Elephas maximus indicus: one gene and its partner. The protein of the gene in region 1 interacts with the protein of each later gene in a biochemical or structural test. Links are inferred from orthologs where the notes say so. Each region holds a gene or a part of one and is shown on either strand. Other genes may lie near its edges.

Region 1 (7,839 bases):
AATTCACGAAAGTCGACCATCTTTTGCTCCCAGCCATTGGAAGCTGCTGGCCTACAGTGGTTCTCATTCTTACAGAAAGGCCACTCCTTTTCATGAATTTAGAAATCCAGGTGAAACCTGCCTTGAAATCTGGGATTCTTTTTCATTTGCCGGAAGATTTGCTTTGATCTGAATTGTGACAGTAGAGACAGATTGATTTTGTTCCCTTTGAGAAACGATCCACTTTCAAGTTATTCTCCAACTCAGGCCATTTCGTGTTGGGACCACTATGTGCATGTTTTTGAGGATTCATTTTCTCCAGCTTCTTTCATTGATCAAAGACATTGGTGCCAGTAAGACTATGGGTAGCGGTTAAAGTGCTCAACTGCTAACCAAAAGGTTGGCAGTTTGAAACCATCAAGTGGCTCCATGGGAGAAAGGTGTGGCAGTCCGTTTCTGTAAAGATTTACAACCTTGGAAACCCTATGGGGTCACTATGAGTAGGAATTGACTTGATGGCAGTGAGTCGGTTTTTAGCGTAGCTTAACGGTTTCACTTAAGATGATCTGAGAATGTTTTGCATTCAACGGTAGAGCCAAGAGTGATCATGTATCAGTTTTGCTTTGTTTACTCCTCCAGTTAAAAGCCAGAGTCCGAAGAGGACTGTGATAATTATGTCAATGCAGATTGAATCAAGGTTACTATTGATAGCTACTCGATGCTATTTATGCCAGTGCAGGTGCAGGCTTTGTTTAACCTTCCAACTGATAAAAACATAAAACATCCAAACCCATCGCCTTCAAGTCAATTTTGAACTCATGGAGATCTTATACGACAAGGTGGAACTGTCCATAGGGTTTCCAAGGAGCAGCTGGTGGATTCAAACTGCCGACCTTCTGTTTAGCAGCCATAGCTAGTCACCACTGCACCACCAGGGCTCCTCCAATTGATTGCATGTGATTTATGGATAGGCTTCAATTCAGTAGGTTCAAGGTTCAGACTGATGACTCAAAGTGATGGGGATATAATTATCAACTTAATATAAACAAATGCAGTTTCAATTATTTATTTTCCAATTACCGAGGTACTACCAAACTTGACTGATGACTTCTTGACCACGGCTTATATTTTTATTATACAAATATGATCAAAAGTAACATTCTTGGACTACTGAATGAAGAAGAAGGTCGAAATTCACTTCTGGAAAGGCCACGAGACTTGTGTGTTAAGCCAGAACTTTTAAACATAATTTCATCATTTCTGTGTTTTATATATGTATGCATGTTGTTTACATGGATGCACTGTTTAAGAAAAAATATGGTATTCTCTAGAATTTTCTCCAACAAGATTTTTATGCAGCTTCCATATGCTCATATTAGAAACTCACAGAATAAATGCAATGTTAAAAGACAATTGCCATTTTGGGGGGCAATATTATTTATCATGCTCCCTGCTATTTGTTGCTTTCCTTAAATAGTGAGCTGACTTAAGATCCTTCTACTTATATACTTAAGAATAATTTTAGAGATTTTTTTCCTAAGACTGTAGACTGAATAACTATTCTGAATATAAAATAAATATTATTTCTACTAAATACTATTTCTACTTTAGAATGTAAATATTAAATAAGTATTTACTCAATAAATATTTATTAAATGTCTTTATATTAAGTATCACTCTAGACACTACCTCCTTACCTTTTCTCGCCATCTTTTTGGGGAGAAAGAACATTGTTTAAAAGTGAGTTTTCTCAATACAATAATGATGATGTTTATTTTTTAAAAAAACTGGAAAATACTAACGAGCATATATTCTTAGATATTTCTTTATAGACTCAGAAATGGTATTTCTGATGAGTTGGGGACATTTTTCCAGACCTCAATTAAAGTATTATCATTTCATTAGTTCAAAAGTTTGCAGGATACATGTTCAAAGGATATCCCTTCTGTTTGAAATTCAACATAATCAACCATTTGGATCAATCTTAACACTTTTTTAAATTTTATTTATTTATTTTGTTGTTGTTGAGAATACACACAGCAAAACTTACACCAATTCAACAGTTTCTATGTGTACAATTCAGTGACGTTGACTACATTCTTTGGGTTGTGCAACCATTCTTACCTCCTTTTCTGAGTTATTCCTCCCCCATTAACTTAAATGCATTGCCCTTTGATGTTCCTATAGATAGAATCCTTCGAGTTGCTATTGTCAGTTTGGTCCCATATAGATAGCTCTTAAAAGGGCATAATGGTCAATAAGAGATTTTTTTTTTTATCATTTAAGCTAAACTTTTTTTTTTTTTTTTTGGTTTTAAGAAGATTTCAGGGGATATTTTTGGTTTAAGATTTAAAGATTATCTCAAGGCAATAGTTTCAGGAATTCACCCAGCCTCCATGGCTCCAGAGTCTGGAGTCTATGAAAATTTGAAATTCTGTTCTGCATTTCCCCCCTTTTGATCAGGATTCTTCTTTTTGATCTTTGATCATAATGTTCAGTAATGGTAGCTGGGCACCATCCAGTTCTCTTGGTCTCATGGCAAAGGAGGCAGTTTTTCATGAGGCAATTAGCCACACATTCCACTTCTTCCTCCTATGCCTGACTCTCCTTTTTGCTTTGTTGCTCCAGGCAAATAGAACATAAAAACCTGAAACCAAACCCATTGCCATGGAGTGAATTCTGGCTCATAGCGACCCTACAGGACAGAGTAGAACTGCCTCATAGGATTTCCAAGCAGTGGCTAGTGGATTCGAACTGCTGACCTTTTGGTTAGCAATAGTAGCTGTTAACCACTGAGCTCAAAATTGAACACAGATGTAAATCAAAACTACAGTGAGATACCATTTCACTCCAACTAGAATGGCTAAGATAAACAAAACGCAACACAAAATAACAAATGTTGGCCAGGATGTGGGGAAATTGGAACCCTTATACATTACTGAGAGGAATTCAAAATGGAGCAGCTGTTGTGGGAAACAGTGTGGTGTTTTCTTCAAAAAACTAAAAACAGAACTACCATATGACCAGCAATTCCACTCCTAGGTATATATTCAAAAGACTTGTAAGTAGAGACTGAGACTTGTACACCAATGTTCATTGCACCACTAGTCACAATAGCCAAAAGGTGGAAACAACCTAAACGCCCATCAACAAATGAATGGATAACCAACGTGGTACATATATACAATGGAATGGCACTCAACCAGTAGAGGAAACGAAGTCTTGATACTTGCTACTATATGACTGGAGCTTGAAAACATTACACTGAGTGAAATAAGTCAATCACCAAAGAACAAATATTGTATGACCTCACTTAACATAAAAAGGCAAGAAAACGTAAATGTATAGAGATCAAAGTTTACTAGTTGTTACCAGGGACTGGAAGGAAGGAGAAAAGGGGGAGGGCAGTTTACCACGATGAAAAAATGGCGTAGATTAACAGTAGAGTTACACAACGGGTTACTGTAAGTGCTGTCAGTAAGTTGTACATGTGTAAAAAGTTGAAATGGAAAAAGTTGTGCGATAGACATATAAAAATAACACACACACACAAAGAGTACCTGTTAAGGCTGCATAGGTACAACCAAATGCCTCAAGGGTTTTGGTTTGCAAGTTTAGAGTGATGGTATCATGAACATTTCAGTTAACTAGCCTATTAGCATGTTCAGTGCTTCTGCTCTACTTCCTAGTTCTTTGGGCGGTTCCTGGGGTCTTAAAAGCTTGCGAGCAGCCATCAGCCTTAACTCTTGAATAAATGTTTACAGAATAAGGTACATGGGAATACAAAAATGAATAAAACTCTGTGTAGGGAAGATAAGAACTTACTGCAAAATGCAGACTAGTTATCAAATAGTATACAACGTGCTTCAATTCTGTAATAGATGAACGCACAGAGCTTAGGTTGTTGTAGAGAGCCTAAGGCAGTCTACAAAAAAATAAAAAGTTGATTTTTTGTTAACACACATTTTTAAGGAGAAAGCACATTCTAACTTTATGCTTGGTAGTCGAGGGAAAGATTCAACCCGTACCTCTCTTTTCCTGTCTATTGATTAATCATGTTTCACTCACACCGTAGCGTGCGCGCCAATTTGCTTTTAGCATAGAAATTAGTAATAACTCTACATTGAAGGGAAGTAAAACGTATTTTTAAATTATTGATGTACCCACCAAAACCAAAAACCAAACCCAGTGCCGTCGAATAGATTCCGACTCATAGCGACCCTATAGGACAGAGTAGAACTGCCCCATAGAGTTCTCTAGGAGCGCCTGGCGGATTTGAACTGCCGACCTTTAGGTTAGCTGCCGTACCACTTAACCACTACACCACCAGGGTTTCCACTGATGTACCCAGTAAGTGAAAATTAACTATAAAAATCACAGTAAGGGACATTTTGCTGGAGAGAACAAAATAAGGAAGACTTCACTATGGATAACGACGGCGTTACGTCAACGCTGTGGCGTCACGCCTATAGATACAGGCGGCACAAGTATTAAGACCCAGCATAGGCCGCCACGTTTCAGTTCCCCGTGCTAAATCTGAGCAAGTTTTCAGGAAATGCAGCTGACCTCTGCCAGGCCAATAAGATAAGAGAGTCAAGGCCGGGGAGCCGTTATGAACGCGCATAGGGCTGCACTCGCGTCAGGCCAAAGAGCCAAGGGAAGCCTACGTAAGTGTCAGACGTCTCCAGGCAGCGCTCGTCTCCCTCGAGGCCCCACCCACTCCTCTCTCCAGAGCCCCCCACCCACTCGCTCTCCAGAGGCCGCTGGGGGCCCGGGTGATGCGGGAGGCGAGTGAGGGGAGAAGGAAGCGCATGCGCTCTCGGGTTCCAGGCAGCCAACCCGCTATCTCGCGAGAGTTGGAAGTCGGTGGCGTAGGTAGTTGTCCGAGTTGCTGGCGACATAGATGATATCTGACGGTGGAAGAAGAGGAGGAGGCGAAGCTAGGTCCTCACCTCAGTCTCTCTTTCGCTTTCCTTTCCCTCCCCCTAACCCTCCACCCTCCTCTAAATCGGCCTGCTTCCCCTGACCTCGGTGACCCGGCTGGCCCCGCCCACTCTCGTCGACGTGATTCCCGCCGTGAGGTAAGCAGCGGGTCGAACCCGGAGCTGCGCGGAGGAGGAGACCTACGACCAGGAGGAGGAGGCTGCTGGGTCCCGCTCAGGCCGTCACGGAGCCGCGGTGCCGGGGAGAACTCAGGGAGTCCTCTCGCCGGTCCATCAGCTCCTTCCCCAGGTCTAGGCCTCTTCCTCCATCCCTGCGGGACCCAGCCCCTGGCAGCAGCGGCTGACGCAGCCGGAACATCATGTCGTCCGCAGCCGAGCCTCCGCCACCCCCGCCTCCCGAGAGCGCGCCTTCCAAACCCGCAGCCTTTGCTACCAGCGGCGGGAGTAACAGCAGCAACAAAGGCGGACCGGAGGGCGTCGTGTCCCAGGCGGCCTCCTCTGCAGCCTGCGCCGGCCCCGCCAACGCCGAGATGGAGGTGAGGGACCTGAGCGCGGCGTGTGGCGCGGGGAGAGGAGAAGCTGGTTCCCTCCCCCTGACTTGAGGGCTCAGACGCGGAGCCCTGCTTCACCCCTCAGCACCAAACTCGGGCTCGGGCTCGGGCTCGTTGGATCCAAACGATGCTCTCGTCTATGCGCCTTCGTGCTTATCCTGTCTAGACTCAAATGGATTCCGAACAGTTTGCATGTAAATTATCTGCTTCTTTAGCAAATCTTGCCAAATATTCGGTGGCTCTTACTAAACAGATGTTCTTGATTACTGTGGCCGGGTGGGAGCTCCCCGTTTCTTTTCACTGGACTCCCATAATTCCCTCTCCAATTTGTGCGAATCTCGGTTTTAGTTTTCTCTGAGCTTGGGGGAGGGGTGAGGGATGTGCCGTTTGGGAGTGAGGGACAGACTGTCGCGGAGAGGGAGGCCGCGCATCCGAGGACTCGGGCCGCCTTTTCTTCCTCCGGGTCCTTGTGGGGCGGTATCTGTTCTGGGCACAAACAATGGCGAGAGCTGGATGGCCGAATGCGCAGTGGGGATAAGCGGGCGCAGCTGCTCTGGTGAAGGGACGAGAGGCCCCTCCCAGACACTGTTCCACTGGGAGGGTAGCGGCCAAGGCCACGGCAGATGTCCCAGACCCCCATTTAATTTGGGGGGAATGGATGGATGGATGAATGAATTAGTGAATATGGGGTGGTTGGTTGGCCTTCAGTCCAGCCCAACTCGTCTTTTGTGGCCTTGGCCTTTCTTTTCTTGTAATTGATAACCGCTATCTATATTCTAATAGATACTGTCGGCTCTGGTCAGCCAGGGGGATGGCGACTGTACTGCGGGGGTGGAAAGATAAGGAGCTGCCAGGCCCGGTCTCTTGGGTATGCACCAAGGCTTCGCAATGTCTGGGAAGAAAATGATTGCTCCTTCGAATTTCAGTCTTGGTCTCCGACCTGTTTTGAGATATTTTAGTGTCGCAGTACGAGGATTTCAGGATTTTCCCCTCTTTAGATAGACGGGATGAAGGTAATACTGCTCTAGAAAGGTACCCTGATGCAGAATTAATACAATCAGGAAATAGCGCAGTTTACCAGTAAGGCATTTGCCGCAGTAGTTTTATTTGGGCATCAGAGGTCTAATTTAGGGTAAAGAAATTAACTTCATGTTATTAGTCTTTGAAAGAACTTTTAGTGGTGAGGGTAGGTTTAAGTGGAATAGGAAATCTGATATTCTGGCTTTTCCAGTGATTGAAATTTGTTTCAAGCTTAGATGTATCCAGTGTTGCGCCCTTTTTTTATTTTTTTTCCTTAAGGTTTTTTAAATGGTTCTTTTGGATTCCTGCTTAATGGCTTCAGGGGGTGTGAAAACCAGTGAAATTGAAAGCATAAGGTTGTATGTGAATGCACAATTCTGCAAAGAGATGTTTGTAGTTTTGATTAACATCTTAAAAGGGGCTGCCATTCAGCCTTTGGAATAACAACATGTAGATGTCTCCCCAGAGGTCTTATTTAAATACCAAAAAGCAGAGTAAAGCCTGAACTAAATACTTTGGTTTTCAGTTGCTATTTTTGAGTTAAATTTTAAAAATGAATGTCAACGTGATGAAGTCAGTGGTAGTTTTCATTTGCCAGATGAGGAAATCAAGTCTTTCGCTAAGTAGAACCTTTAATAGAACCCGGGTCTGGCTCCCAAACTGACCCCTTTCCCACATAGCTTGCTGTGTCATATTTTTATAAAGAAAGATATTTTGCATTTTCATTTACTGTAGATGACCTAGTGAGTTATTTTACCTTCTCAGTATTGGGATATCAGTGATTTTATCTTTTATCCATCCACCTTTTCACTGACTAGTTTTTATTTTTTTCTTCACATTACAGTGACATATTCTTTTAAAGTAAATGTACCCTTAGTCTTTTTTTTTTTTTTTAAATTTTAAATCCAAATTCAGAAGGCATGGAAGTTCACTGATAAAAACTGAGTTTGAACACACAGGTATTATATATGCGACAATCTTAACCTGTTTCACAGTTGAAAAAAGATATTTTAAAATGCGTTTTTCTTTGAATGTAGGATGTAAGGTAGATTTCTTCCAAAATCAGGACATAATGTTATACCGGTTCCTAAGGGTCTTAGCAATGGAGTTACATTTGAATTTAGGTCATTTGACCTTTTAATCTTGTACTTATAACACCTACACCAGCTTCTCCCACTCACCTTTTTTTTTTTTTTTAACATCTAGCTTCATTATAGCGTGTAGTACCAAGCACAGATTTGTACATCATTAATGAGAATTATGCTTTTACCAACTGTTCCTATGTAATTTTTTTTAATGGATGAATGGAACTTTGCAGTGTAGAAGTTGCTACTGATTTTTGTTGT
Region 2 (7,680 bases), on another chromosome or scaffold:
TGTTACAGCTGAGGGTGGGGTGCTACTGGCATCCAATGGGTAGAGCCCAGGGATGCTGCTAAACTTCCTGCAATGCACAGGACAGCACCCCCAAAAAACAAAGAAATATCTGATCCGAAATGTCAAGTGTCAGGTGAAGAAACCCTGATCTGGGGGAAAAGCATTCCACTCAGTGGAAACAGCAGGTACATAAGTCTTGGGATAGAAGTGTGGAGTATGTGAGGAACAGAAAGGGCAGTAACGGCTGGACCTTGGTGAATACGGAGGGGAGGAATGCAAGATGAGGTCCATGAGGAAGGCAGGACCTTATAGGGCCTTACAGACTATCACAGAGAGTTAGTGAAACAGAGGAGTGAAGAGAGCTTTTAAGGTGGAGGAAATTGCATGAATAAAGTGTCAGAGACAGAAAAGTACAAAAGGAAAGCCAGTTTGGCTCAGAGTTAAAGGTGGTATCAGAGCAGAGAGGAGCTGGAGAGTAAAGAGGCTACCAGCTCCACAATAGGGAAATTTGGCTGTATTATTCTATAGTACATGAAGCACTAATCATGGACTTTGAGCAAAGAGATATGAGCAATATTTTCTGGAAACTTAATCTGTTGGTAGCATATAAGATTTAGAGGGGAAGAGGCAGGGAGACCAGCTCAGAAGACCCTGCAAAAACCCACAAACGAGGTAATGAGGGGCTGGTTCAGGATAAAGAGGTAAGATCAGAAAGCAGGAGAGGCTGAAGGACAAAGGCACAGAAACCAGGAGCTAACTGGATGAGGCAGCTCCCTCATGCACACCATGGGCATGGCAGGGTTGGAACTGTGTGCCTGTGCATCTATGCGAAGCACATCACAGGTCCTGACTGGGAGGCACAGCTGTTTTCCAGGGTTTCAAGTTCTAGAGAACCTGAAAGTAGCCCTACCCTTTCCTATACTGTCTTTCAAAATCCATTGCCATCAAGTCAATTCCGACTCATGGCGACCCTATAGGACAGAGCAGAATTGCCCCAAAGAGGGCAAGGCTGTAATCTTTACAGGAGCAGACTGCCACATCTGTAACCCAAGGAACAGCTGGTGGGTTTGAATCACTGATCTTTTGGTTAGCAGCCAAGTGCTTAACCACTATGTCACCAGGGCTCTCTTATACTGTCTTTAGCCTAAAAGAAATCATCAAAGGCTGCTTAAATGAACAGGAGAAAATAAACCGCTCCAGGGCCACAACCAGTGCTTTGATTCTAGGCAACGAGGTCTTCTGATTTTGAAAGTCTAAATTTTCCACAGATTCCTATCCCTTAGCTTCAATATCAACAAGCACTAATTGGGTACCTAGACTTTACAGGAGGTTCAAAAGAAAAAGTCATTCCTTCTGCATTCAGGGGCTTACAAACAGTTTTATATATAAAGTTATAAGGTAAGACAGTATGTGTGGAAACTGTTTCCTGATGACCTACAGATACTGATGAGGTACCCCCAAATTAACCAACTCCTAGAACACAGTAAGAATGCTTTCTTTGGGTTTTCCCCTCTGTTTTTACCGCTTCTTTAACTGAATTAGCGTTTTTTTTCTTTTAACTCAGCATTCTCAAAGTCTTCTGTATGGGTAAGGAAAGTCATAACCCAGATTTTGAGATAGTAAGCTCTTAAAAGTAGATTCAATGATAATTTACCTGCCTTGAAATTTGGAGTCAAACTTTGAACCCCGAGACAACAAAGAGTGAGTCTTAGCAAAGGTAAATCCCGATAAACAACGCTGAGCACATCTCTTAGGCCGGAGGGAATCTGAGATATTTACAATAGTGAGCACTGGGAGTTTATCTGAGAAAACAGACCAGAAGAAACTATGTAACATGTCACCTGGAGAAGAAGGTCAAACAAATACTTTAAAGACTTGTGAGGAAGGAGACAGGCGCTGGCTAATATACCTTCAGTATCCAGGGGAGTTTTGCAGGGTGAACCCAGCAATCGAGGGTGGCCCCTCTCAATCCTGCGAAGAGCTGCCCAGCATTGCGGATGCGGACAAACAGCAGAGGCACAAGTGGTTTCATCCCACTGGTTCGCATCTGGCAAGTCCATAGCCAAATGGCTTAGAACAAAAGCCAACCCTGCAGCTTTCTAGCCTTCTGGAGAAACGACAACCACATAATTAAGAGTGCATTATACATTAGCATCCGCAGGCGTTCCTTGGAAACTCTATGGGGTAGTGCTACTCTGTCCTATAGGGTCGCTATGAGTCGCAATCGACTCAACAGCACTGGGATACATTAGCCATGCAGTCCAGATCTTTATTTGGACTCAAAGTATAAAACATTTCTATTGAGCCCATATAGATAAACGGTGGTCATAGGATAATTGGAGCCCTGGTGTGATGCAGTGGTTAAGAGCTCAGCCGCTAACCAAAAGGTCAGCAGATGGAATTCATGAGCCGCTCCTTGAGTTCTACTCTGTCCTGTAGGGTCACTATGAGTCGGAACCAACTCGACAGCAACGGATTTTTTTGTAGAATAATTAAGGGTTTGGTAGAAGCAAGTATGAAAACATCTCAGCGTGAGGCAGAATGTCAACAGTTTAGAAGTAGATTGACTTCAGAATGTCTCGCAATTGGCCATTTGATAGCTGAGTAAACTGGGACTTAACCTGTTTCATTTGTAAAATGAGGATAAGCCTATTTCACAGGGTTATTACAAAAATTAGTTAACAGATATTAAAAGGTCTGATATATGTTAAGTGCGTGGTGTTGATTCAGACTCACAGTGATCCCACGTGACAGAGTAAAGCTGCCCCATAGGGTTTTCTAGGCTGTAATCTTTACAGAAGCAGATCACCATGTCTGACATATAGTTCATAAGAAACATTACCATCCTTTTTCTTTTCCCCTTCATAATCATTAGAAATGCCACCATTTCCAAAAAGCCTTATCAAATTACAATTAAATTACGGAAGTGTCTTAGCTCAAAAACGCAAAGAGCAACCACTTTTTCTTTGAAAGACATGCTTCATTTTTCAGTATGTGCCAATTCCCATGCAGGCAGCTAAAATACCCACCAGGAATGAATGTGTTTGGTCAAACAGCAAACCAATAACCTTGATGTGATTACATCAGAGGCCATTAATTCTCATTTACTGGCTGAACGGTCTTGAGCAAGTGATTTCACCTTTCTGAACCTGTTTCCTCATATAAAGTAGGGAGAAATAATCCCTAAGGAGGACTGTAAAAGTATTAAATGAGATAATGTACATTTATGTGTAATACGTAATAGGAGCTCACCAAATGTTATCTTGCCTTCTCTAAAGAAGCTGCAGATAATCACTACCACCCTAATAGCTCTGTAAGGGCAGTGCCTATTTCTTCTTTCTTCTATGCAACACGTATTTACTGACTACCAGGTACCTGAGGGGAACTGTCCTGGGCACAGAGAACAGTAATGAACAAGATAAAGTCCCTGTTCTAAAGAGCTTATAATTTAGGACAGAGATACCAAACTACTGCCCTGGGATTCCATCTGGTCTGTGACTTGTTTTGTCTGGCCTGCACTTTAGACATAATATTTTAAGAATTGATGTCCAGATTTCTGCCCCATCTTAAAAAATCAAAATATCTAACAATACTGGGCCTAATTCCAACACAACAGGAAATGACTGGAGCTGATTAGCTTCTGACATCTTTAAACTAGGTCTGCTACATCCAAGTGTTCCCCACCTGACCCTATAGCCTCTAACCGAAGCAGTTTCAGTTGCCATTTATTAGCACATTTGCTCTGCTGTTTTTCTCATAATAGGGAAATATTTCTCTGTACCCACGTCTCAATTAAGGGCAGGAAAATGAAAGGCTGGCTTAAGAGGACCACGTTTCAAGAAAAAAATAAGTAGAAGTGAGGACAATTTCTACGCGTTTAATATGAAAATACAAATTAAAAAACTACTACAAAACTGAAGGACTCGGAAAGATGTAAGGAGAACCATTTTATGAATTAAAAAATACAATTTTAACACGGTTTGTTTTCAATGTGACTGAGTTTCGCTATTCTTACAACCTACTGCTCCGGGTCCTTTCGTTATATGCCCAACCAGAATTGAGCCCCGAGATCTAGCCACACCCATCTCAATCCCGCAAGCATTAGCGTTGCCTCAGCAAGGTAGCTTGCAATGAATAAACTCTAGATATGAGCTATTATTAGTATAAGCATTACAAAGTTGGCAGCAGCGAAAAAATTAAGGATGAACATCAGCTCCGCTAGAGCTGGAGAAAGAGTCCCCGCTTCGTTTCGGAAAAGAGAAGTGGGAGAAACTGGCATCCGGGAGCCACAATTCGCGGATCCAAAGGAGACTTCAAAGCAGTAAGAGTTTAAAGCCAGGCGGGAGGGCGTTGCTCCTCGCGGCGCGGCCGTCAGCAGGCCCCGCCCAGCCAGCTCTGTTCACACCTCCAGGCCCAGCCGTCGCCCAGCAGCGGCGCGAAGCACCAAGGGAAACGGACGGAAACCCCAGTGAGCCATACTTAATTTGCAGCGAACGCGACGAACGTGTTAGTAGCACGAAGAAGAGAAATGGGGCTGGGGTGGGGAGTTCCGGGCACTGTGGGGCCTGAAGGAAACCCCAGGGGGCCAAAACCCCTGATGCGTGGAAACTCTGGAAGCGCCGGCGACCGGAGGCGGGGCTGGGGTGGGGCGATAATGCTGCGCAGGGCACTGTGGGACAGTGTGGGCCGTGTGGACCGGAACGGAAGCCTCCGTGGGTCAGACCGCATCGACGCGGGAAGTCCGGACGCCGTAGTGGCTTGAAGAGGAGGCCTGAGGCGGAGGCGCTGGCCTCGGCAGCGGCAATGGCAGAAAGGCCAGAGGACCTAAATCTGCCCAACGCCGTCATCACCAGGATCATCAAGGAGGCGGTGAGCAGGCCAGGCTAGCGGGTGGGCTGGGCCGGACGAGTGGGCATGAGGGAAACAGGTCCTGGGTGGGCAACTTTGCTCACCGCCGCTCTCTCACAGCTCCCGGACGGCGTCAATATCTCCAAGGAGGCCCGGAGCGCCATCTCCCGTGCCGCAAGCGTCTTCGTGCTGTATGCCACGTCCTGGTGAGCGGGGCAGAGTTAACCAGAGCTCAGCTAGGGTTGAACCATTAGGGAGGCTCCGAGAGACCCTTAGCTGGGGAGTCTTGGCCCGGAGCCCACAAACCCGAATGATTGTGTGCTGGCTCCGTGGGGAGAGGTTCACAGCTTTCACCCAGTTGTTACAGGGTGTGAAACAACAACAACAAAGTAATTTGGCTGTAGTCCTTTTGTACAGGTAAGGGAGGGACTTAGCTGTATGACACCCACAAAAATAATGCATCTAAGTGGTAGGCTTTTCCAGTCCAACTCAGGGTGCGCTTTTCCTGCCCGCTCCAGAGGCATCAAGAGGGGGTCTGACAGCCTCTAAAGGCCCTTTCTGCTTTTCCTCTTTCAGTGCCAACAATTTCGCCATGAAAGGGAAGCGCAAGACGCTGAATGCTAGCGATGTGCTCTCAGCAATGGAAGAGATGGAGTTTCAGCGCTTCATCACTCCGCTGAAAGAGGCTCTGGAAGGTAACGACCCTTCCGTTTTCTCAGCCACATAGAAGATGGTCATCCTGTGTGACCTGCTCACCTGGCCCTGAGGCGTTTTCAGCATGGGTCCCCTAAAGTCCTGTAAGCCAGTACTGGGTGTGACTCGGCACCCATTCAGTTTGCACCACCTCAGATCTGTTTTTGATGCGGGCAGGTTATTCTTCCTTCCGTGCCTCAGCTTTTCCAGCTATGGAATGGAATTAGCTGCTGGAGTCTGGTTCACTCATCCAGCCCTGCCTCCTAACCCCCTCTTTCCTCCTTATAGCATACAGGCGGGAGCAGAAAGGCAAGAAAGAAGCTTCAGAGCAAAAGAAAAAGGACAAAGACAAAAAAACAGATTCGGAAGAACAAGACAAGAGCAGGGATGAGGACAACGATGAAGATGAGGAAAGGCTGGAAGAAGAAGACCAGAATGAGGAGGAGGAGGTGGACAACTGAATGGGATGGGAAGACTGGCACCTTGGAAGGTACCACTTTGAAATATGTGATACACGTTTATGTGAAGCTTTTACTTGCTGGGCAGAGCAGTCTTAGGTGGGAGTACCTGAGAAGATGGAAATAAAACTGGCTAGAATTATTATCAAAACTAGCACTTCCTAGACTCAGCGCATCTGGGTAGCAGAATCTTGTTTTGCTTAATTAGTCTGAAGGTTATGACTTTTTGACAAGAGGAATACTGAGCAGCTAATTCAATGAGCCAATTTGATCTCTCTTGTTTAGTTATATATATGGTTAGGCAGTTTTTGGTTCTCACTTCCTTCCTCCCTGTACCTCCCAAGAAAGTAGTAACTTTTATCCTGCCTGCTGTGTTCCCGATCACAGTCAGCCGAGACTCAGGAAAAATTTGGGCTTTGATCATGATCAGCCTATATTTGATTGTACAGTATTTGTCAGTACTAGCTTATTAAGAGTGATAAGCGCAATTTAGGTTTTAGAGACTATTAAAAAGCTGTGGGAGAAAAATGAAACCCGTTGTTCCTTCACTTGACAGTGAATCTTGACAGACTCCCTAGACTTAGAAGTCTTGTGTATTGCATATAGCTATTCAACTTCTTGGGGTGGGTGCACTCTGGGCATCCATGCTTTTAAATTAGCACCGTAGAGTGTAATTAGTCAAGCAAGGGTGCCAATGTCTTATTCTTACAAAACAGGTGGCTTAGTCTTAGATGCACCTCACTGCCTGCCACTGTACAGCTTTAGGATTTATCTTCACCCCCCTAGAAGGTGTAAAATCCCAGGCTTTCTCTCACAGTCCATCTCTCAGACTTGAGACCAGCTTTTCATTCTTCAATTCATGATGAGTTCCAAACTTTATAACCTCAATGCACAACTTTTTCCATTTGTGGTTCTCTTGTTCTGTCTACCTGCCTCTGCTCTGCTTCCCATTCCCACCCTTTCTCTTTCCTTTTTTCACTTCTGTCAGTTCAGAAACATTGATAACCTGCTTAATATATAAAAGTGAAGGTTCCTCTGATTCCTTAGTTATAATCTCATGCCTTTTAAAAATGATTCTGTAAAACTTCTCTAAACGTTAAGCAAAATCTGATGGTGCTCAGGAATATAATTCCCCCAAACCATCCATCCCCTTAACTGCTTCCAAAGTATTTCTGTTGGCCTTTCTTAGCCTTTTTCTCTTTCTCTTCAGTGCTCCAAGCACTTTTTGTCTCTAAGTTGAATGCTTAGAGTTTGACAGTGAAATGTAGTTTGATACTGTTAACTTGTCAAATGAATACAGTGAAAAGTTTGTTGACGAGTGAAGAATCTTGAGAAAACTATAATGCGTTGTATAAATAAAGAACATTGTTGTTAAAAGTGATGACTTCTGTTTCATTCTCCTTGTTCATGGTGTGCTTTTGGAGAGGATGGCCCAGTGATTATGCCTCATACGATTCATGGTGTATTACTGAGCCAGGCTTTTATAAACGTGGGGTTCTGCATCACCTTGGGTGACCAGGAGGTGCCGCTCGTTCACAGGCAAAGAAGCTGTTCTTCAGCCACGGCAGAAACCTTCACTGATGACTGACTGCTGGGATCCTATACCATACTAGATTCTCAACAATTCCCAACATTTCTGGAGCCCCTAATGTGTGCCGGCATTATTTTAAGTGCCTGCAAG

The links. The genes of interacting proteins can lie anywhere in the genome.
Region 2: the proteins of SMARCA5 (region 1) and POLE3 form a complex in vitro, tested with the Homo sapiens proteins (2 studies listed by BioGRID). The link is inferred for Elephas maximus indicus from reciprocal best matches to the Homo sapiens genes SMARCA5 and POLE3.

Annotation. Positions count from the first base shown.
Region 1 is NC_064831.1:41,246,771-41,254,609, reverse strand, and holds the start of SMARCA5 (SWI/SNF-related matrix-associated actin-dependent regulator of chromatin subfamily A member 5), read left to right. Parts: upstream 1-4,834; 5' UTR 4,835-5,281; coding exon 5,282-5,458; intron 5,459-7,839. UniProt on the Homo sapiens protein: ATPase that possesses intrinsic ATP-dependent nucleosome-remodeling activity.
Region 2 is NC_064827.1:62,659,298-62,666,977, reverse strand, and holds POLE3 (DNA polymerase epsilon subunit 3), read left to right. Parts: upstream 1-4,672; 5' UTR 4,673-4,803; coding exon 4,804-4,869; intron 4,870-4,968; coding exon 4,969-5,054; intron 5,055-5,424; coding exon 5,425-5,543; intron 5,544-5,829; coding exon 5,830-6,002; 3' UTR 6,003-7,374; downstream 7,375-7,680. Other genes in the region: C9H9orf43 (uncharacterized protein C9orf43 homolog), read right to left, coding at 1,659-1,802, 1,910-2,060. UniProt on the Homo sapiens protein: Accessory component of the DNA polymerase epsilon complex. Participates in DNA repair and in chromosomal DNA replication.